4 linked regions of the Drosophila melanogaster genome follow. The gene in region 4 interacts genetically with the main gene of each other region. Each region holds a gene or a part of one and is shown on either strand. Other genes may lie near its edges.

Region 1 (6,644 bases), on a different chromosome or scaffold from region 4:
TTGTAGACAGATTTCAATCAGATCAGACTAGATGAGCAATTATTTTGGTGGTCAGTAACCATTGTTCTCCGTTTGCAGTCCCTCAAGCCGAAATTCCCGCAGTACGAGAGCCTGAATGTGCAGATCAAGGGCTACGACTACCCGCAGCTGGAGAGCTACCAGAGGTTTCTGCACGGATTGGCCGAGTACCTGGACTTGGACGTCTCCGACTGCTACGCCCTCCCTCCGCAAAAGACCACGGTGCAGCGACTGCGGCCCAACTCCACGGTCATCGAATCGGAGTACAAGCTGACCACCTACGAGCGCAACCTGCAGCTGAACAATGTGGATGCGCCAGTCTATCCGCAGTTCTTGCGCCTGGCCCAGGCGGCGCTGCCCGAGGGTGTGAGCTTGCAGGTGCAGGAGTACACCGACGACTGCGAGGAGCGGCGCTACGTGCCCGACAAGGAGCTGCTCGACCTGAAGGACGAGCTGGAGCGCATGGGCGGACCCACCACCACCAGGAAGAAGTAGGCGGCGCCTCCGATTTGGCAAACATTTAATGCTTAGCTTTAATGAGTAACCTGTGTAAAGAGTATAGAGAACCTATGAGTAAAACTTTCCTATTTAAAGCTTTGCACTAACTGGGACGGCAATAGTTTAGCCGCCGTTTACAGAAGTTAATATTCTAATACAATTTCACGTGTCTCTTTTATTTTTGATCTGTCCTTTAGCTTGGTTCAACAGCGACTGACTGCCGCGCTCTCTGCAGAGTGGCGAGTCGATTAGTCGATAAGTTTCTCGATAATATTTGTATGTTAAGGATGGGTGTATGAGTGTATAAGCTTATGACTAGATTGGCTATGTATAATTAGGTATGTATGACTAAGAGTAAAGGAAGAGGGTAGAAGGAGCAGCCTACTACAATAGTTACAAACGATTGGAAGACGCAGCGCTTAACCGTTGTGTGGTGTACGCCTGGGAATTGCACTATGAATTATTAGACCACGCCGAAGTGGACCACCTTGATGGACGACGAGGAGGAGGAGGAGTTGCCGCCCTTGCTGCTGCTCTTGGGTTCTTCCTCGCGTCGTCGGATGGGCGGCTTAGTCACATCTGCGAAGAAATGACACGGTCAATGGGGCAAGGTTATTGGTGAACTCAACAAATACCCACTGGTCGTAATGGGGTTGAAATCCTTTAGATACTCGTCGTTCGGATGACAGAGCGGCAGGCTGTCTGCGAGCTCCTTTTTAGGATTTGTCAGATGTCGCGCAGCGGGCCTGGAGTAACCATTTCTCTTGGGTGGCATTGGCTTTTCCTTGCGAGGAATTTCCTGTTCGAGTAAGAGCATTAGTAAACTGTCACATCATCGATTGATTTGTTAACTCACTGGCACCACCGCCACTTGAATTGTATCCGAGAACTTGACTTTGTTCTTTTCGGCCGTTTGTGACTTTGCGGGCGTGGCGGGTGCTTCTCCGTTGGTGGGTGCTGGATTCGCCGGGTTGGACAATATGGATGCGGTGGGTTTCTTTTGCAGCAGGCGCTTCTGGTAGTCCTCGCTGGTGAGCGATGGCAGCATGGCGGGAATATTGCCAGAGACAAGCGGATGTTGATAAAACTTGGGCTGATAGGACCCTGTCGGCGGAGGCGAAGCTGGCATCGTGCTGAACTGACCCAGCTGGGCGCTCTGATCTGGAATGTTTGAAGGCGGAAGACGAGGAAGTGGACTACTAGCCATAGGCAGACCCACCGTCTGATCCGGCACGTCCTGGGACCACAAATTGCCTGAAATAATGGATAAATTATTTAAGTTATGAAGGGAATTTTCTTCACACGAACCATTTGGATGCAGACTCTTTGCGGGCGCCTGCTGCAGACTACTGTTGGACTTCAGGGTTAGACTCGCCAGCGAAGATGTTGGCGGCGCTATTGAAACCTTCGGCAAGGGCGGCCTCAGTTCCGGTTTCGGTATGTTGATCTTGATCATCTCAGCGTTGAATACCTTCGACTTGAACGAGGGCAGCGGTGGCACATAGTTCTTCAGGACCTGCTGGCTTTGTGGCTGACTTGCGCCTAGTCCGGTTTCGGGGGCAGTTCCTGCTCCCTGACCGCGCAACATGTCCGAGCAGGTGGACAGCGAACAGGCCGACTCCGAGCGCAGGTCACAGGTCAGGCTGAGATTGCCGTTGGCGCGATCTTCCTCGTGGATTATGGCAGCTGCCTGACTGAAGGCCACCTGGGCGAACTCACTCAGGCTTGAGATGCACTTGGTTAGGTTGTACAGGTCCATGAAGATGTCATAGTCGGCCACATCCTGGGCGATTTCGAAGGCCTCAGCGAAGAGGTTTTTGCTGCAAGCAACGAAAGGATTGAGCATAAAAGTGGCATGTTCACACGAGCTCAACTCACCGCAGCAGATAGAAGCAGAAGCGGCGCTTCAGATCGTACACCTGATCGCTGAACTCGTCCTTCGTCTCCTCGGAAAGCGTGTGGGCGAATGTCTTCAACGCTCTGGCCATCAGCTCGATGCGAGGTCGTCGCTGGTCACCGCCGAAGAACACATAGTTGGCTATCTTGTGCAGCGTAATCAGGCACATGGCTCCGTAGGTCTCCCAGTTGAGGGCGGCCAGGACATTGACCGCTCTGTCCGGCTGCTGCAGCCGCAGATACTTGTCCGCAATGACGTCCGCAGTGAGTCCGGAATTGTGGATGTCGCCGCGCATTCCGGTGCCGCCAAAGATGCGCATGCAGGCCAAAGGTCCCTGTTCGTACACCAGCAGCAGCAGGCAATCCGTCTGGGCGTAGGTGTGCTTAAAAGTGGACAAATCTGGCTTTCGGCTGAAGGCGACACTCAGCAGCGTTGGCTGGGCCACGAAGTAGTGCGACAGATCCAGCAAGCTGGACGGCGTCACATTCTCGCTAACCAGCTGATGGCCAATGGTGGCCAGCGCCAGGTCGAAGCACTGCAGCACCGATCGCTCGTTGGCCACGCAAAGCATGGCGGAGTCGCAGTGCCAGGCGCACTGATTGGGCACGATCTCAATCTGGTTGGCGTACTTTGTCGACTGCTGGACCAGGTCGTGCAGGCAGATATTGCGATCGACGCTGCCCAGGAAGAGCTTCTCCTGGTCGGGGCTGAAGGCAAAGGAGCAGATCTGGGCGCCCATTGGAATGGAGGTAATGGCGGTGCGCTGCATCTTGCCGGCGGCCAGTTCGTAGGAGCAGATTTCTGCGCTTATGTCGCCCTTGCGGGAAACCTTCTGCTCCAGGGTGATGATCTGGCTCTCGCTGCTTCGCAGGAAGTCCACGCACAGCGGATCGTTCTCCGACCAGCAATAGGCAATCGATTCCAGCTGCAAGCTGAGCAAAGCGATTAGACTGGGCCATGGAGTGGGAGTTGTACTGTGCAACTTACCCCTTGATCTTGAACACATGTATGTTGGCACGATCTTGGTCCCTTATCGTTGGCCTCCAGGGATACACCTCGTTCTGCGAGGACTGCGTCCAAACCACGAACAGATCGAAGCTGGCGTTAACTGTGAGGTGGCGGGATAGTTTGCGCTCTGTGGCGCCCGGTATGATCACGTGGAAGATGCGCGGATCCATATTGGCGATCTTCTCCGGTCCCTGGGAGCGAGCATTAGGCCTCTGCAGATGCACCACCGTCAGCTGGTTGGTATTGTAGGCCAAGACGATGTGGGAACGGGTGAAAAAAGCTGGCGAGACAACGGATGCGGGCGCACGACGAGAAAAGAGACACAAGCGACAAAGCTGAATGAGTGGCTCGAACAAAACATGGAAAGCCGGAGGATGGTGGATGGGGGAAAGGGGTTGGGGGTTCGCATATTTACAGGCAACAAAACAAGCCAGCAGATTAATTAAAAATTACAATAATTGCATGCCCTGCATGTGTGCGTGCGGCTGTGTTGGTGTGGGAAAGTGCAAATCAAGTCGCACTTGTTGCCAATGCAAATTTCTCCATAACTGCACAAGCAGCACTCCGCGGAGCAAGGCCAAATGCGGACTGCACTCTATCGAATGACTGATACCCTGGATGACAAGCGGCAAACAGCACAAAGAACTAAATGCAGGACAGCTTTTATAGCTGAGAGCTTAGTGAATAATTAAATGGCATGCATGTGTTTCTAGCAAGCTGTCTTGGTAATTCGTTCTAATGATGAGGAACCTTTAATTACGCCTGAAATAGCCATTATGTATTGCGTGATGTTAACGCATATTAACTGATTTTCGAACGCTGCAAGTTGAGATGTCTGCCAGTCGAGCTGCACATGCAGAAATGCAATGCCCAAGCTGATTGATGGATGGCTCTAATGCGATGGAGGGCGGGCTGGAGCGGGTGAAAGGAGAGAATCGCACATACCATCCGTAATGACCTCGGAGGCGAGCTTGCCCACCAGGTACTTCTCGAAGACCATGCGCAGAATGTCGCCCGTGTAGATGTCCACGCAGATGTGGGCGATCAGGCCGTGTGAGAAGAGGAGCAGCACCTGCGCCGCGTCCTGCCACTCGGAGTGGATGATCCTGTGCTGGCGCAGCAGGTCCTCCAGCTTCTTGAGGTTGTCCTTCAAGCGGCCGGTGGACTTGCGACCAGAGTTCTTCAGCACGGCCAGTCCATTGCGACGCTCCGTATAGTCTCGCTTGGCCAGGCAGGCGAGGTCCTGCTGCTCCTGCTCCTTGTCGCGCTGCCTGAGGTAGCGAAAGGCGCCCAGGTCCTGGCTCTTGATCCGCACCACATCCTCGCGCAACGTGGTCCAGAAATGGGTCTCGCTGAGCAGCATATTCAGGCCTCCAGTGCATCGATTTGCATGGCGGAATGATGGGTGTCAACGCGACTCGATCAGCTCGATCTCGATTTGTTGGCGTGTGCCTTTCAAGCTGCTCCAATTGCACTGATTGCTTTGTATCGGGGTTAATTGCGCTGCTCTATGACTGCTCTGCGACTCGTTATCAAGGTTGCTCGCGGAATAGCCAACGAATTAGCACTTTGGCCAGGATTTTTCGCTTTAAACAAACTTTGTTTATGAAAATAAAATAAACTTGTTGCTCGAAACACTGCTTACGTTACTAGAGACGGCACTTTGTTACGTCGCTGAGCGTGGTGGTGGCGTGATATAGATGGACTACAACTGCGATCGCTCACGTGGTGGAGATCTTCGATGGAGCACATAGGTTGTGAACCAGGCTATGCTATGTTTTTAGCACGTACCCGAACCAGGATCTAAATTTTTGAAATTCAGAAAAATAAAATATTTACAATAAGCTACCACTACTTTCGCAGTGTAGTAGCTAGCCAATAAATCACTTTAATTTAGTTGTGCGAAATCGTATTATCTTGGCCAAATCGGCTTATCTCATCTCACTTTTATGGGCGGCAGTCTGGTTAGCCAAGATGAACTATGTTCGACTGCAGACGATTGTTAAGATAAGATAATGTACATATATATTAAATGGGAAACGAGTGGGTTATTTTTAAACAAAATTGTTGTATTTATTGATTTCACCATCAAATCGGATTGCAATCAATTATTCACAGTGGTTTCCTTAGTTCTTTGCTCATTATCAGTGAAATACGTTTTGCGTGGAGGGGGGGGGGATAACTAACTAACTAGCTAACTAATGGACTAAATAAACAGCAAAAATTGTATCAATATAGTTAAAGTAATATAGTAGAGTAATGATAACTAAATCGTATATCGCATTTGAGGAAACTTAACGGAAACTTTTACAGTTTACGAATCGGATCGGTCGGCTTTATATCTATATATATATATATTTAGCGGCATCTACTGGCAACTGCGGCCGATTCAACATTTTGTGCTTACAACTAAGAAAACTACGCCAGCGAACTCACTCTTTAACTATTTACAATGCACTCTGAGCGAATCGAGTCCTATGTACACTATATTATCCAAGTATCAACCACATTTATACACTCAATATATATTGTAACTTTAACTAAATAGCAGCCTTTTCAAATTTTGATAACGTTTCGCCCTGCGGTGGCATACCACATCCTTCTGTGGCATGCAGCAAGTGGGTTTAGGGTGTGGATGGTGCACTTCGATCCTGGTGCGTGTTTCCCATTATTGGTTTTTTCTTTGTTTGCTTCTTTTTTTTTTTCGATTGGTTGGCCAACGTTCAACGTCTAACGTCTTAAGTCTATCGAGTTCGTTTCATATCTGACTTAGAAGCTAGTTAACTAAGAATTTGCGCTCGTTGGTTTGGATCGTTTAAAAACGAGGGATAAAATTACATAAAGTTGCAGCAGTCGCGTCTACATATGCACAGATTGGGTTACTCCTTCTCCAGTCCTTTGAAAGGCATCTAAAAGTCGTAGAACTCGTTCGATTTGTTGTTGAAGCGCCGCGTGAGCACATAGACGACCGCCTCATAGGTGGCCATCATGATCGCCGTGTTGGGAATCTGTCGCACCAGCTGCGTGGCCAAGCCTCTGTGGAAATAGTTGGTAAAGTTTACAATTAGTAGGAGAATTTGCTAAGGTAGAGCTCTCATATATAAAACACCTCGAGTGAGCACGCTCGAGAGTGATAATCAAATTAAGGTAAACAAACAAAAAATATGCGACGCAAAAGAATTTAAATAGATTTCACGAATTCGTGGGTGGCACATTATGATAA
Region 2 (5,520 bases), on a different chromosome or scaffold from region 4:
GACCACTGACCACCCACCTGATCCACACACTCCCTTAAGGGTTTTTGTGGTGACAGCCTCGGCAGATGCCTTCACCTCCCCCGCAGTCACAGTGCAAACAGCTTTCTGCACTTCGCTGGGCAGTTTTGGAGCAGCTTCTGTATCCAAGGGATTCCCGGTGACGTTGAACAGTCCACTGCCCGATTCCTCCTCCGTCGCCATCGCCGTGGAGCAGAGAACAAGACACAGCATCCACGTAGCTGTCATCATATCCATCCACCAAGAATCCTCTTCTGTTGAAACACCCAAACACAACTGTCGACGAATCTTGGGAAATTGGCAATTTGGGGAGCACCACCTTGAGCCACTCGTTCACGTGGATTTATTGGTCGGCGTGTCTTTTGACTTCTGGTGCGTGGAACTACTTTTAGAATGGGACCCTCCCACCAAACTCTAAAAATAGTGTACACTTTTGATGGCTTCTCTAGTACGAACTATGAATGAATGAAACACATTCGCACGATGTTTGTGTTCCTCTTGAAATACCTTCATACATACATATTTATTCGCTGCGTTTCAGAGGAAATGTACATATTTTTCAATTTCTTAGAGTTTTGGCAAGCTTGCGCTTTTCGAATTTTGAAAATACAAAATTGCACTTCCCCTAAATCAAATGCTTTCGTAATAGAATTGCTGAAAATGATTAATTATGCATTCTTAAATATAATTTTAAAAAATTGTTTGAATGCCTATATAAAAGTAATTTGTTTAGTTAAAACCACATTTTAAATATTTGTGTTTATATTATAGCAAGAATTCTACGCATAGCCAGTATCTAAGTTGGTAGTATCCTTCCAAGATGTCATCCCATTGAGAAGAAGGACAACCGGAAGGCCATTTCGACTATGTTCTGGGGAACATCGGACCGGTGACACACGTACACTTCCTTGGCTGGCGACTGAAAGAGACGACCAACCACCACGAAGCGACTGCTCGTCGAGGATTGGGATTGCCCGTCCGACTTGGGTTGCGTGCTGACCTCCAGGATCATGCCGTGCTCCTTGACCAGCGACACTGTGTGGCTACTGTGCCCGTTCGAGTTCGTCTGTGCTCTCGAGGATTCCGATAGATGCCTGCGATAGTGCTTGGATTTCTGCAGCACGGCGTGGATTATGTGACACGCCTGACGAATCTCGGAGAGGTAGTTGGAGTTCTCGGAGCTGTCGGTAAATGGCGCAAACAAGGACCCATTGGCTATGTCAATGTAGACGTAGTGCAGAACGGAATTCTTCCAGCCAGCGGATATCTTGACCGGCACCACGTTGTTGATCTCCTTCCACATGGACTCTGTCATTTGGCTCTGACTGTGGCTCTCGGCCCCGAGATTCAGTCCATAGTGAAGTGGATGCTGTACGGCGAAGTTCTCCCAGTCGGAACCGCTGTCTGAGTCCTCGGCAGTACCATGGATGGGGGTCAATCGCCTGCGACAGGACTCGTCCTCACTGGGAGTCAGACTATGTATGGAAGACCCACCCAGGGACGAGCACAGTTGGGCTTCCTCCTCCACCGAAGGACTCAGCACGGTTAGCTTCTGCTTGAGGAAGGACTCCAGTCGGTTGTTCGGCTCCTTCTCCTGATCTCTACTCTCGCTGGCAGTGGCGTCCAGCACCTCGGGTCTCTTATTGGAAACGGACCAGAACATGGCCAGGGATTCAATGCCGCACTGTACTAGGTGGTCCAGCGTCTCTTGAATCTCCTCGATGTAAAAGAGCGATGGACCCACCACCGCATCCGGCGCCATGTCTGGAGCATCGAAGATCTTCAAGATCACGGCCAGACTCAAGTGGTTCTTGGTGCAGATGGTAAGGAAATATCGCCCTGTGGCACTGGGCAACACTATCTCCTCCCACACGTACATCTCGCGAACTTTGATTCCCGGAGCAGCTCCGAGCAACTCGAAGATTCCGCGGCAGCGCAGGAATCCTTCTACACTCACCCTCACTTCCGGTGGCAGCAGGCTGGCCACCAGGAAGCCATCGTAGTACAGCGCACTGCCGTAGATGAAGAACTCGCGATGGGTGGTGAGTGGCTCGTCGTTCCAGTTGCGATAGTCCATGGCCTCCATTTCACTCAGAGCATCAAAGATGCGCAGCTGCGCTTCCTTTGGCAGTGGCAGGCTGCGGGATTGGCCCAGGAGCTCCTCGAAACGAATATGACCATGGCATCTGGCTACGAGCCGGGTTCTCTGGATTTCGCAAAAGTGTCGAAGGAACAGCTTCAGTCTCGAACTATTCCCCGGCTCTCTCTCCTGATTAAAGCTCTCCAGGACCAAGCCCGGCAGAGAGAAGCGTATGTATCCGATTAGCTCATCCGATCGCAGGCTGCACTCCGCCGCACAGCAGAGTCCTCCGGCGTAGGCGAAGAGGACTAGGAACCCATTCAGTTGGCGGTAGTTGACGTGGTATTGCACCTGATCCACCAGCAGCCTTGAACTCAGCGGCTGGGTGTGCAGTTCACTGAGTACGGCGTGCAGGGTGAGGAAACTCCCACGGGCCTTGAATAGGAAGTTGTCGGGGATTTCCGGAAAGTAGTAGAGGGAATCCTGTTGCTGTTCATGCTGATAGCACTCCGGTGGGAGTAGCAGCATAGCAAAGGGCATTCTTATGTCCACGGAACTACCGGGAATACCGAAGTTCCCCTCCGTTATCAACATCTGCTCAAACTTCTCCGTGAACATGGGAAAGTTCTCCACCTTGCACACCTGCTCCTCGCGGACATTTCGATTATACCCCGGATCGGTGGGCGAAACTGCACTGGCCGCACCGCACGACTGGAAGCCTAGGCACACCTGAGTGGGCTCCACGAACTGCTTGAGCAACTCATCCACATTGCTGGCGTACACCTCTATGCCATTCAGGGATCTAAACCAATCTCCCCGCTTGATGCCGTGCTGCAGCGCACTCACATCGTGAACGAACCCATCGACCATCAGGCATTCTGGTTGGTCCGGAAAGGGCAGGACCCGGAAGCCCAGTATGGACTCCACCGCCGTGGATCGTCGTCCGAAACGGAAGCGATCAGCGGCTGTGATCACCAGATCCAGTTTCTTGGGATCGGGGGCAGCCGTCTTGAACTGTGAGAAGCGGAACTCTTGCGGCTCCGTCTGGCTATCCAACCTGCTCGGGCCGTGGGACTGGTTTTGGTTCTGACTCTGATTCTGATTATTGCTGTGCGGCTGGCGACGCGACGACTTCTTTCCCAGGCGCAGCGATCGACGCATGAACTCCACCCGCCGCTCTGCCGAGACGCCAGTCTTCTCACATCGCACATACTCCATGTAGAAGAGACTGCCGTCTGTGGACACGTACTCCTCCCAGTTGGCCAGGTCGCTGCCATCGCTGTACGAGTTGCTCAGCGAGGAGTTCGAACTGGAGAAGGCCTCCGACGGCAGGCTGGCCGGCGATTTGCGCATAGTTTACCGGGGATAGTTAACTGGGCGGATAGTTATTAGTGGCCTACTATTCCAGGTACACACTCAACTATCTGCCGCCGGTTGATACCGCCTCAGCTCAGCTCTGAATGTCGACTGAAAGCCGAGATCCGATCTCAGCACTCAAAACCAGTTTCTAATTGAGCTCTGGCTCCGACCAGCTCAATACCACTCCACTCAAATTCCAGCGGGAAACGATCCACTCCCTTTGTGATCTGGTTCTCTTTCAAGCTGGGGAAACTCAAAACCCACCGTGGGTTAAGACAAGTATAGTTACCATAATACAATAACCAATTTCTTTTCTTTTTATAAGTGTTCGCATTTAACGATTGGACTGCTAACCAGTTGATTTCAGCGTGATATTAAGTTATAAATAATAATCATGGAAAATCCTTATAAAAATAGAGCTCCGTCTGCGATATGCTGACTCTGCACAAAGTCGCATTGAAGATTTGGTGGAACTTAAAGCAAAATTGGTGTGCTATCATAAGGATTGTGTTAATCAGCGGAAGATTAGTAAAATGTTGCTTCCTCAATGGGTATCCGATGATCATTTGTCATAGGAGACTACCGCTGAAGTCCTATCTCCCAATAAATTATTTTACGGCCAATAAACTGTGTATGCATGATATGAAGGGAATTGATATAATTAATTGGGCATTTGTGGACCCGGGTGTTTTAGTGGCCACCTTTTCGTATCGCCGATGGTCTGATAATCTAAGATTTTCCAAGTGATTTTTTTCATATCGGTCTCCGGACTGGACGCCGTAAATCAAAACTTTTCTATCTGCAAACAATCGAGTAGTATAGAAAATTGTGTCTCACTGAACTCACTATGTGCTGGCCAAAAGCGAGCCGTGGCTATATCGGTTGATCCGGAGCACCGATCCCATTGAAGTACGGGCCTAATAGCCGTACTCCGACGTCCAGATAATTATCCGATAAGGAACATGGCGTGGGCGTGAAGCGGGACGCCCAGTGCCACCGAAAAAGCGATACGCTGATAGTCCCGGGCCATTCAAGGGAAGATATTGCCAAAATTGATAAGCCGTATCATGGCAGAATTAGCCGCACATGTGTACCGCAGCTACCTATTATTTCTGCTGACCATCGGAGCAAGCTGAGTCCTCCAGCCAGTCCATTGCGCGAATCCAAGGCGTGTGCTTCGCCCAGCCGCAAATAAAGTGATTTGCGGGAAATGTCGGCCGCGGTTAACTATCACAAAATGTGGCTTAGATTTCGGAATACCCAGTGAAACTGAATGAGTGGCTAAAAATTGTATAGAACGCGATTATCTGTGTGATTGTGAAATCAAACAGCTGTCAAATCTTATTTATAATCCCCCATTACAAGCACTATAGGTGCGCAATTCAGTGAATATGTGTCCAAAATATATATGGGATGTGATCGTATTAGTATGCCTGTTCCTTGGAAACGTAAGGGAAGCATACACCGAGTTTTCGATCCAGGATGGCTTGATAATAGAACCAGATTCAGCCACAACATCCAGCGAAGAGGCCGAAGAGGTCAGCAAGGAGAGAACGGACCTCAAATCCCTCATGTTGAAGTACGAATCGGATGATGGGAACAGTTGTCTGCTGGATCTGATCAAGGACGAGGTGATATGGTGGCAGTTTCCCAACGGAACCCTCAGGGACAGCACAAAGAAATACGGTAAACCTATCCAATAAAGTCCAATAAAAATCCCTGCCCAAGTCTCAGTTTGATTGGGCATTGTTAACAGCTCTCGAAACTATATACATATACTTTCACGCTTCCGGCAACGCGGATCGACTGCTTATAGAAGGTCTTTGATGTTAGCCTAATCCCACCAGAATCGGTAACATTATTATGGAACCCCTTATCAGTGAAAGCTCTGCATTACTACACCCAGAGAAATTTAAAAAAATACCGATATCGGTTGTGTTCAGCGTACTCAGTGGCATCAATCATGCTCATTAGAAGAAACCTTCTTGATTTCGAGACGAAAACGATCTCAATGTTGATATTTTTTGGCGGAAGCAGTATCGGGTTTAAAATTGTGGAAGAGA
Region 3 (5,870 bases), 2.2 Mb from region 4:
CACTGACGACGCACAAGCCAAAAAACAACAGCAGCGCAAGCTGTTGCCTATTATTGTTTAAAGGATATCTGATATGTTAGTATTCCACTCACATTTGGCTAGTATTTATGAAATAATGTAAATAAAAGCGAACGCACCATCCACCACCAGGCACCAAATCATGGGTTTCCTCAGTTTGATATTTAAGTAGCTTATGAAATGAGACCATCGTGCTCACTCCACTTGAATTAATTGAGCTTATTACTCTTATCATAGAAATTCGAGAGGCATTCGAGTCTTTGTATCACAAAGAACTTGAAACTTGATTGATTGCGATTAAATCTACTCATACATTATACTTCAGTGCGATTTGGTAAACCTGCTGGGCTCAATAATCAATATAGGAACTGTTTGTTAATCCCGAGCTGATAAGGCAACTTTCAGACATTCAAAAGACCCCCAAGAATGAATTAATTACGTGCGCATTTCCACGATTTGCGTCACCTTCGAGATAGAACAATTCGTTTAAAGCTGTTAAAGAAGTGGGTTTGATTTATTTACGCATTTTGTTTTTTATGCTAGTTACAATTACAACAGTTACAGTTTGAGAGTAAATGTATGTATAAATGGTATGTATGCTTAGGTTGGTTTTCCAATTGCTTTAAGTAATTGCTAGATAATTGCAATATAAAAGAGCTTCGACAGAAGACATTTAGCTAGAAAACGAAAATGAAATCAAACCTCAAGCAAACGTTTCTAAGTAGTTTTGTAAATAGGTATATATCATATATGTATGTATATATAGATTGGGTTCACTGGAACGTACACATGTTCGAATACGAATTCGGGTCCTTATCACTATAATTTTGTCTCTAAAAATACACGAGTTTTTGTATATATGTGGTTGCTATGCACAGGCTAGTACATACACCTGCTAGTGGCTGTTGGCAATTTGTGTGTATAAAATGCATATTCAGGCAGTCTTCGCTTATATTATGTATTTGTCATCAGTTGCATTCGAGTTATAGTTGTTTCGTCGTTTCTCAACTTTGTGGCAGAAGAGTTAGGACCATTCGGTTTCGGCTTAAAATGTGCGTATGTAAAATCTTATTAAGTCGCGTCAAAAGTGGCCAATGCACTTTCGACGCAAGTCCGAGTCCTAGCTAAAATTCCATGGGCTTGCCTTGGCTCACTCCATTCCTTCTTAAGGCTAGCGATCGGGCTCACGCCTCACAGATATCGGGTAAAATTTTAGATATTCCGCGAAGAGTAAGCCCAACTTTACACTAAACATATTTACTAAAATAAAAATCGTGTATAAAAGAGCTGCATTTAAGAGTTGATATCTGAAGATCGCGGTTCGGCAAGCCAAACCATCATTCTTATAATTAATACTTTGGGAACTTGTAAGTCATGTTTGCTTATCAAAGGGTGTGATATGTTCGCGTCGGTTTAGGATGATACACTGGGCTTTTGAGCATTGTTTCTTGATATTCGGGTCATAAGTTCAAGTTTAGCACTGATAAGTACGTTGCCTTCTCATCTAATAATCATTTGTTACAAGATCAAAATTTAGCTGCTGAGGCCTGCCTAGACATTTTGTTCTCACAACAACTTTTCCTTTCTAAACTTCCATGTTTTTTTCTTTTTTTTTTTAAATTCAGGGTTTTGATCGATTTAAAAATGCTCCTCTTGTTCATTGATAAGTAATTTTGATTGCTTGGTTTGATTGGTTGTGGTGTTTCAGGCATATATAAAAATGAATTCAATTACCCTGATGGCAGTTCTCACAAGAACGTCATCGATTTGGCTGAAGTAAAGAAAATATGTGAATATGTGAATTAGTAGCTGGGAAAATCAGACAAACACATGCAAGTAGGACGATTGCGTCTGGTTGCTATGAGTGGGAGTGTTGATTGGAGGGGCGTTGTGGTGGTGTCATACGGATGTTTCGGAGTTCAACTTAAGAACAAATTTGTTGCTTTTGGGATCCACAACCTCCTCGGCCAGGTTGAAGTGCGGCAGCTTGTGTACGGTTACCATTAGGGAGACATCGTTCTGAATTAACTGGAACGTGCATTCGTTGCCAATTGGCCGAGAGACGATCTCGTCGCAGATCAGGGACCAAGACTGCACCCAGCGTCGCTCCTTCTCGCTCTGCATCACCGGAGACTCGGTCAAGTAGGGTTCCAAGAAGGCGCGGGGCGACAGATCATGCTTTAGGCAGTGCGCCAGATGTTTCAGTATGCTCTCAAAGGTATGCCGCGGCTGCTGACGCGTAACCCGTAAGTATTTTTGCAGCGCCCTGGCCATCGAGGGAAAAACCGCCGAGGCAGCCTCCTGCGGATCGAGCGGCAGTGCCGGAGCCGGTTCGTTATGAATGCGTTTGATGTGGGTGAAGGCCTCCTCGGCGGCGGTTATAAGACGGGCACGCCGTTTCTTCACACGACGTTCGTACTCGTGCTCTTCGTAAAAGCGCTCGTTATGCGAGGAGTCTCGGCGCCGCGCGTTGGCTGCTAGAACTGCTCGACTCTGGCTTTGCTGTTGCGAATTGCTCACCCCATCCACTTCGTAGTACTTGAAACTGTTTGATATCTTGTTTCGCTGCGATTTGGAGACCGATATTGGGATGCGCTCCAGGTAAGGGTTAAATATGGGGAAATCCACGTAGTAGTGCTGTAGCACCCACACAGCCGCCCGTTGGATGCTCAGCTGACCCAACATGTAGGAGCGCGAAACGCCGTCCGGGGAGCGAATGATCTTGATGTAGTAGCAAGGCTGCTGGTGTCGCAGCTCTAGTAACACCACGGCCACATAGTGAATAAATAGAAGAGTGTCCACAAAATTGGTGGCATAGCCTACCAGTGACTTGTAGTCCACGGCATCGCCGCCCGTCTCCACAACGATTTTGGCCCCGTTTGTGACCTGCACGATGTAGAAGAGCCAGTAAGCAAACGTGCAGATGGTGACGAGAAGGAGGACGAGAGCGCGATATAGGAATATCCGTGGCATGGTGGCCGATGTACGTCGCATGAACACTGCCCACAGGCCGATGGCCAGAAGCAGCAGCCGGGCGGCCAGCGATACCAGTTGGCCCTTGCACTGCTCACTGCAGGCCAGCAGCTGGGTGCGAACAGTTTGCGTTATTTCCGGATGATCGAAGGCCGACGGAAAGAAGCCCACATACGGCATCACCACCATTGCCACTGGCGAAAAAAACGCTCCGCATCCCAGCAGGAAGTAGAAGCTCGACTCCACGTATCGGCGGCACGCAAAGCTGAAGCCCTTGTCGCTCTCACGATGCCACATGTTGTTTATGTCCTCCATTGAGATGCTTTGCTCCGAGGTATTCCCCGTGACGGCGGTAGTATTCTCGCCCCAGTTCTCGTCCTGCGGAAGGATTTGCACCTCGATGACTTCCTGGCCATCGTGGCTGCCGTCTCCTGGTGCCCAAATAATAAATGGGTCAATTGGTTTCCTTCCACCGATAGAGCCATTAAACAAACTCACCTGTCATATTAACGCTGGTCTGGTACGGTGCCATGTCGCCACGTTGAAATCCCTTGGCCGACTTCGAGGAGTGTGTGCTGCGGTGGGAATGTCTGGAGCGGTCCCGCTCCCTGTGATAGCCGTTGTTGACACTGCCTCCTCCGCCACCACCTCCGCCGCCACCCCCTCCGCCGTTGTTGTTGTGATTCCGCGAGCGTCTGGAGCGTCCACTGTGTTCCGACTTGACGGATTCGTTTTCCATTGCAATTGGGCTAGCGCGCGAGAGCTATGCCCGATTCCGAATCTCCTGCTCGCGAAGAGACGTGCCCCAAATCACCTTGCAACCTGGCCGTGCAGCTATTTTAGTGTCTAACTGTAATTGCGGCGGCAGCAGGTTTTTCATACGCAGGTATGCAGGGCGCAGTGCATAGCCTATAGGCGATTTAGAGCTTTATCTGCGGCTAATTCTGCGGCACATTGTCACTATTCGTGTCTTGCATGGCTATTTCATACGCTATTTAACTATTTCTCGCACATTTTTCGCTTTTTATTCACTTTTTCGTGGACTTGGCTTCACCCCCGACGCAGTGTGACCACCGCAACACAATCAGCAGCACGGTCACATTGCATTTAGTGTTTTCAAACACTATCAGTTTGGCAATTCAACCGCCAAACTGATAGTTTAAATTTTAAAGTAAGTTTATTTTGTTGGACAATATCATGAATTTGCAATAATAGCGGAAAGTAATTGTCTGGCTCTCTGGTCAGTTGGGCTTAGCAGTATGGCGCGCTGCAACAACTTCATAGAACAGGTTTTGTCTACTGCACTAACCGCCTGACTGGCATATATAGTGGTCAGTGCCTCTTCGCTGGCCAAGATGCTAAATATAAACAAATTCAGTCTATCATAATACAATGTATATAAATTCCCAAGTCTTACCTATTTTGTTGCTTAGTGTGTCCCAGAGTAAGAGTTATTCGACCCATATTTGAAGTAGCCAGTCGATAGGATTGGTCATCAGAGAAATAATCAAGAAGAAACTTTAGCACGACACTTCGCAGACTTCGGGAATTGGGAAACATTCGTATGCGAGTCTGTAGATAGCACAACGCTCTTCGGGCACCCTCCTAAACAAAATCATAGTATTACTTTTGTAGAACCACAACATTCACCACTTTTAACGAACATTTATCAGGATGTAGTGAGCCGTTAAATAGGATATGTCGGCACAATACTCCTTCTTAAAGGCGTACGCATTCAGCTCCGTCAGTATCGTATGGATCAACGCATTATCTCTATGAAGTATACCTAGGGCAAGGGCTGAAAACAACGCCTGAATGGGGACCTCCTTCAACAAGACACTTTTGGTGATTATAACGTTAGAAATGTTGAATCAACAAAACAAATATTGCGCTACCAACCACTGATAGAGTAGGGTTTTGGTGTCCGCTTCGCCCTGAAAGTCGTAAATCATGGATGCCATAGCCACGAGGATGGTAGCTGCTTTGTCATCGCCATGATCAACCACGTTGCCGAGAACGGAGTTGTAAATAGAGTAGGATTCCTGCAACTGACCGGCTAGATAATATGCCTGGGCCAGGCCAATGATCGGCTTAAATGTGGCATGTGCAACCGTGTTTAGGGCGTGTGCCGCCTGCTCCGGCTGGTCTATTTTTAAGTACAGGTATCCCAGATTCGTGTAGAGCTTGTCACGATCCGCTCCAGGTTCGCACAACTTACACGCCCGAGTGAAGGCTTCGATTGCTTGGCGATACAGGTTTTTCCGGGCGTAGAGAAATCCCTGGAACGACAGCGATGCTGGTGTCGCATCCGTCTCCTCGTTTTGCACATACCTTAAATGTATTGCAAGTCTTTAGTTGGTTTTAGATAGGGCATTACTATAATACTTACCAATTGATGGCATCCAGCGCAAGCACATCAGCGTACATGTGTTCGATGGCATGCTTTATGCGCGGCTTGTCGAAAGATCCAGGAGTCGACAGCATTTCGCACACCCAATGCGCAAATCCAAGCGCCGCCTCCGGATGGTAATCGAACTGCTGGCAGTGACGAAACAGATCAAAGGCTTCCTCGCGATCGCCAATCAACTCCGCAACCATTGCTTGTCCAATCCAAGCGTTGGCGTACACGGGACTTGATTGCTGGGCTCTCGTAAAGGCCTCGTTGGCCAATCGGACTTCATTCAGTTTAATATAGAGAACTCCGAGATTGGTCCACGCTGTGTAGCACTTTTTTTCCAGCACTACAGCCTGAATAAAACAGTGCTGTGCCAATGGCAAGTTCTCATTTTCGGAGTTCATATTGATAACTCCGAGAAGATTCCAATTTTGCCATCTGTTGCTACACTCCTTAATGGCCATTTTGCACGCCTTAGTCGCCG
Region 4 (4,824 bases):
CAGCTAATGGTTAGTTAATGGCCAGTTTATTGTTTACGATTGCTGGTTTAAGCGCAGTTAAGTTAAAAACAGCATTTTAAAAGGGTTCATTATTAGCCCATTGAAACAGTTAAACTTTCAATGGCTTGCTTTCTAATGCCGGATAAAAATAACTTTCAATTTGTGAAAATCATCCAAGTCATTTAAGCGCTTTCCTAGTCTTTAAATGGGTATTCTTAGAAAAGAATACTATTACTATACTATACTCAGAATACTATATTCGAACTGGGTACAAGTTGGTCATACCCAGCAGAAAGCTATGTGCTCTGCAAGGGTGTAGAAATTACCACAACGCATTCTAACCTGGCCATTGCAATTCACATGAACATGCACCGACCATGGAGTTGGAGCTGGAGTTGGCGCTGGCTGCAACTCCAACTCCAAACTCCGGGCACTAGATGATGGGCCCATTGTCTGGCCGGAGCTGCCGCTACACTTCCGAGTGCAGTCGACGTCACACTCGGCGTACTTTTAACACTTAGAACACGCTAGCAGCAGCGGAGCAGCATGAAGGCAGCCGATTAGCTGGAAACTCTGGAGCATCATCCCAGCTATTCCAGCGCAATAACAAATTTCAAATTTATTCCGCTGTTATTTTTATTATTATTATTTTGTGTTAGCGGCTCCCGGCTCCCGGCTCCCGGTTCCACAGTCCATTGTGGTGGCCAGAGGAGCGCATCATTTGCTCGCCGCCTTAATGTGCTTTAATATGTACTTAGGGCCAACTTGGACATGGCCGGCTGTCCAACGGTTTCGGCCGGTTGTTAAGACCGAATTACGGCGGTGCAATGCCCGGTGTTTTGCTTTGGCGTTTTGAGCTATTTTCTAGCCCAAATTACTTTCTCCCGAATAAAAAAAGATTTTCAATTTGGGAGAGTGCCCATGCCCAGTGACCTAAACTCAATTGGCATCGGTCTGATTAGCCGGAGCCAAGGGGCAAAGCAAGCCCTTTTTGCCAGCACAAAAACAAAATCTAGATCTGGTCGCGCGATATTCCAATTTTAGTTTCATGTCATGTACTCACATTGCAGAGCTCGGTTGCAGTTTAGGTGAATAAATTAACACCTTTGGCCGTTAATTTTCCCGACAAGGTACAACCAGGATTACTTTTCGCACATAAACTTAAGCGGTTTCTTTTTCGGTTTTAACTTGGTTAACTTGCTTAACTTCACTTTGCATCTGCTGGCATTTTCACACATTTCTTCGGCAGCATTTTCTGCACGTTTTTCAGCATTTTTGAAACATCTTCATCTCGTGCCACACACTAAATAACACATAAACAACCAGCGTCGCGCTAACTGTTATTGCTATTGTTTTTAGAAAATTCGCTTCGGTTTCTTTTGTTTTCCTCTGTTTTGGCCGCAAAGAAAGCGAAGGCAGCGGCGGCTTTTCTTCGCGAATGAAGGTTGCACAGAGGGTTTGTGGGATTTTTCTCGATGTCTTTCGAACCGCTAAGACGTCTATCAAGGTCGCCGTCGTTGGTGCGACTGCCAAAGCAATCGCAGCTCAAAGAAACCAAAGCCGAATCCGAACACTGAAGACTGTAGACTGAAGCCTGAAGAAAAGTTCCGGAGAGAGGCGGTGCGCTCTTAAACGAGTTTTCTTTTCTGCTCCACGCTCTTATATCTTGAAAGTATAAGTTCGGTCCGTTTGTGTTTTGACAAATTGTACAACCAAACAGCCGAACAGCCAACTGCTGGCAATGCCTGCGTGTTGTGATGTGTGAAGGCGAAGATCTCTAACTGTAGACTAATTAACAAAGACTGGGACAGGTTCTGCATCGCGCATACGCCGTGTGGCCGGCGGTAGAAATGACAGGAATCCCCCAGTACCGTTCCAAGATTCACGCTCCAGTTTGATAAAAGCTGCGGAACAAGAAAAAAAAAACGTCATTTGTCATTGGTTCAACTCAATTTATGACAATTTACTCGCTTTAGTTGCGCTCGAGTGCAGCTGCACTTCATGGAATCTCAAGATCTGCAGATTCACGATCTTAAGATCGAAAAAAACCATGGATCCGGAGATCCGTGCAGCAGAACAAGTGAAAACTTTCGAAAAGTTCCACGGCAGGTGGAGTTATGGGGCTGCCTCAAATTACACGGCCAATCTGTTTGACATAAGCAAGTTATAACATATATAGTAAGGCGGTCGGGGCAACAAGCCAAAAAGACAATTACCGCAAACGGGTTTCAATTAAAAACAGTTAAGCAGTGGCACACAAAACGACAAAAAATTAAATAAAAAAACGAAAAAAAATATATATAGAAATTTATAGAAATATTGGCATCTCCTTTTGCCGGCGCTGCGTACGTGCAGTTTCCCAGTTGGAGACTGCAAAGCTATGCCAGTCTTCAGTATGCAGCTTGGCAGTCTTCAATACGCAGGCTACAGTCCGCAGTCTACAGTCTGCAGTCTACAGTCTTCGTCTTCATTCCCATCTCGTCTGGCCAATAATTATACTTTAGTTGGCGACGCCGCTGCAACTATTTGCTTTGGCTGCATTTACAGTTTTGGTTTTTTGCCGCTAAAGTTGCCGCCCGTCATTTAGAAAGTTTTAGTTTCGTAGATCTCCATCTAATGATACCCAGCGTCCCGCCTTCTTGCAGCCACTACTCAACATTATCGTCCAAATACAGTTCTCAAGAATGGGCCTTCGACCGTTTATTTATACTTTTATGACTGTGTCTATCTGCATTTTATGACGCTCACTGTTCGAATTTGTATTTCTGTGTCAATCGGATTCGGAGCTCCGAATCTCTGGATCAGTGGGTCTCCTGCTCCTCCGGGCTTTTCTTATCTTTCGGGCTGGAATAAATTGCGTTGCGTTACCTACACACAATTGACCGCGTATCTGTTCGCCATTTACCCATGCATGATCCATAAATCTTTAACTGTAAAAAGAAGCCCGATCCAGGTCCAGGTCCAGGTCCAGGTCTTCGCTCCAGTCCGGATCCACATCCACATCCAAGTCCTCGTCCATGTCCATGCCATGTCGTGGTCCAACTTATGCAAACTTTGGGCACACGTCGCTGGTTGGCCGCCGGCTGCGGTGAGTCGTCTGATCTGCTGCTGCTGGAAAACTGGGAAACCAGTTCACGTCTGGGATGCGTACACAGGGAGAAAAGTTCGGAGTGTCGAGGGGATACGTGATGGGAGTATTAAGTTATTGAACGACCTAAGCAGTTATGTTAGTTTAGTGTTAGTACTCAAACGCCTAATGGTATACCCTTTCAACCTATCTTATTGGCTAGCTGTTTAATATAAAGTTAATCTAAAGTGCAATATAAGTTAAAAGAATTCACTAATATTTATTACAGTGGTACGTGGACCCCCCTTGTCCTCGATGTCCCGGCATTCCGCCTCATCTCGGCTTGTTATTGATACGCTGGTGGCGGAGTGGAGTGTGTGGTGCCTCCGGCCGAGCTAAACAAACTTGCAATTGTATTCATAAATAACGATTGAGAAATGTGTTCTTTTTTCCACGTCTGCGGTCGCGCACTTATTACCAATTGCTTCTGCAATAAACATGAAAATGCGCTCATTGAACTTGGTCGGTCCACTTCGAGTCCGCAGTCCATAACGGTTAATGGAGGATGCGAGTGTCTGTCCAGATGTCCAGGTTTGATAATTATTGGAGCTCTCTACTTTTTGAACATCTCTGCATTCATTTAAATTACTATTTGAATATGGCCAATTGGGAATGTAGGTTTCAGTTGGCCGTAATGTTTTAACTGCTTCCAAAAGAACTTGAGCACAAATACTCATAATTCTGCACAATCAACTATTTGTCAACTATCTTCTAAAAGTTGTATGACAAGTGTTTTCTATCCTTAACCAGATCTAATTAAACACACGTCACGCACCTAAATTATTTATAAATACGGAACGGTGTGCCTTATTTCTCTGCAACTCTTAATGACTACTTAAAATCAGGTGTAAAACCATAATCTATATGGCTACCGTTTACGCTGCGTCACTTTTAATTGGTTCTAAAGTTTTATGACAATTGCAGAAATAATTGTCGACCCAAGTTAAGATGAGTAATTAAAAAGTCTAGCTATCTGGCGATTACTTAGAAACAAGCCATTCTTCTGTCCAGAACTCTTTAACTAGCATTAAAAATCAGGTGTCAATCGGAGGTAATTTCGCCAAACACACTGATAATTGTTATTACTTTCGTTGGCCAGATTGAATAATTAAACTCCCCAAGCAGGAGGCGAATCTTCATTACGAAGAATCCCCATTGCGTGCGGTTGGTTATGGATGTGATTTTGCCGTTTTGATGACTTGGCAAAGTGGCGTATGACGGCGCCATGGGGTTGCGTGTGCATCCTGGCCAAGATCCAATAGCTCCATTACCCTTCGGGCCTTGGGCGGCCGAGTTCCGGAGCCTATCCATCCATCGCAACGGTTGATTGACAGACAACAAGCCAAATGCATTTCAATTAAACGCTAACCGCTACGAATATTTCCATTTCTGGGTGAGTTGAGTTACTGATACCGTGTGTGTTTGCTGGTTCCCGTGTCTGGTCAGGTGTGCTCTGATCTGCAGCTTTTTTTCGTGACCAGAGCCAGGCAATCCAAAGCAATCCGAAACGAATCGAAACGAACCGAACCCAAACCCGTAGGAGAACAATTCCAGAACAGCGGTCAACTCATCAGTATGCTGTATAAATTAGAGCATCAAACGGCGCTTTGCCAACTCGGAACTGGTCTATACTGTTAGTGCTACAGCACCTCCATCCACTATTCACTATCCACTAACCCCATCCACAATTCAACTAT

Evidence for each region.
Region 1: of sha (region 4) and frtz, changing one enhances a phenotype caused by changing the other (phenotypic enhancement), as found in Drosophila melanogaster (one study listed by BioGRID).
Region 2: of sha (region 4) and in, changing one enhances a phenotype caused by changing the other (phenotypic enhancement), as found in Drosophila melanogaster (one study listed by BioGRID).
Region 3: of sha (region 4) and Vang, changing one enhances a phenotype caused by changing the other (phenotypic enhancement), as found in Drosophila melanogaster (one study listed by BioGRID).

What each region holds. Positions count from the first base shown.
Region 1 is NT_033779.5:1,710,773-1,717,416, forward strand, and holds frtz (fritz), read right to left. Parts: upstream 5,080-6,644; 5' UTR 4,785-5,079; coding exon 4,367-4,784; intron 3,702-4,366; coding exon 3,401-3,701; intron 3,346-3,400; coding exon 2,395-3,345; intron 2,337-2,394; coding exon 1,825-2,336; intron 1,771-1,824; coding exon 1,373-1,770; intron 1,316-1,372; coding exon 1,156-1,315; intron 1,096-1,155; coding exon 980-1,095; 3' UTR 530-979; downstream 1-529. Other genes in the region: mRpL48 (mitochondrial ribosomal protein L48), read left to right, coding at 79-513; Rim2 (replication in mitochondria 2), read right to left, coding at 6,331-6,457. UniProt on the Drosophila melanogaster protein: Probable effector of the planar cell polarity signaling pathway which regulates the septin cytoskeleton in both ciliogenesis and collective cell movements. Functions cell autonomously to regulate wing cell hair polarity and number.
Region 2 is NT_037436.4:20,365,247-20,370,766, reverse strand, and holds in (inturned), read right to left. Parts: upstream 3,570-5,520; 5' UTR 3,452-3,569; coding exon 842-3,451; 3' UTR 508-841; downstream 1-507. Other genes in the region: CG13247 (uncharacterized protein), read right to left, coding at 18-255; Toll-9, read left to right, coding at 4,849-5,143. UniProt on the Drosophila melanogaster protein: Plays a role in the definition of cell polarity via the planar cell polarity (PCP) cascade. Acts downstream of fuz and accumulates asymmetrically in wing cells to regulate planar polarity in the wing. Probably acts by regulating ciliogenesis.
Region 3 is NT_033778.4:9,101,436-9,107,305, reverse strand, and holds Vang (Van gogh), read right to left. Parts: upstream 4,069-5,870; 5' UTR 3,731-4,068; coding exon 3,490-3,730; intron 3,423-3,489; coding exon 1,918-3,422; coding exon of another isoform or gene 1,837-1,917; 3' UTR 510-1,836; downstream 1-509. Other genes in the region: CG8777 (uncharacterized protein), read right to left, coding at 4,187-4,349, 4,409-4,596, 4,656-4,830, 4,891-5,322, 5,381-5,870.
Region 4 is NT_033778.4:11,322,492-11,327,315, reverse strand, and holds the start of sha (shavenoid), read right to left. Parts: upstream 3,003-4,824; 5' UTR 2,906-3,002; intron 2,845-2,905; 5' UTR 2,743-2,844; intron 1,529-2,742; exon of another isoform or gene 1,527-1,528; 5' UTR 1,060-1,526; intron 1-1,059.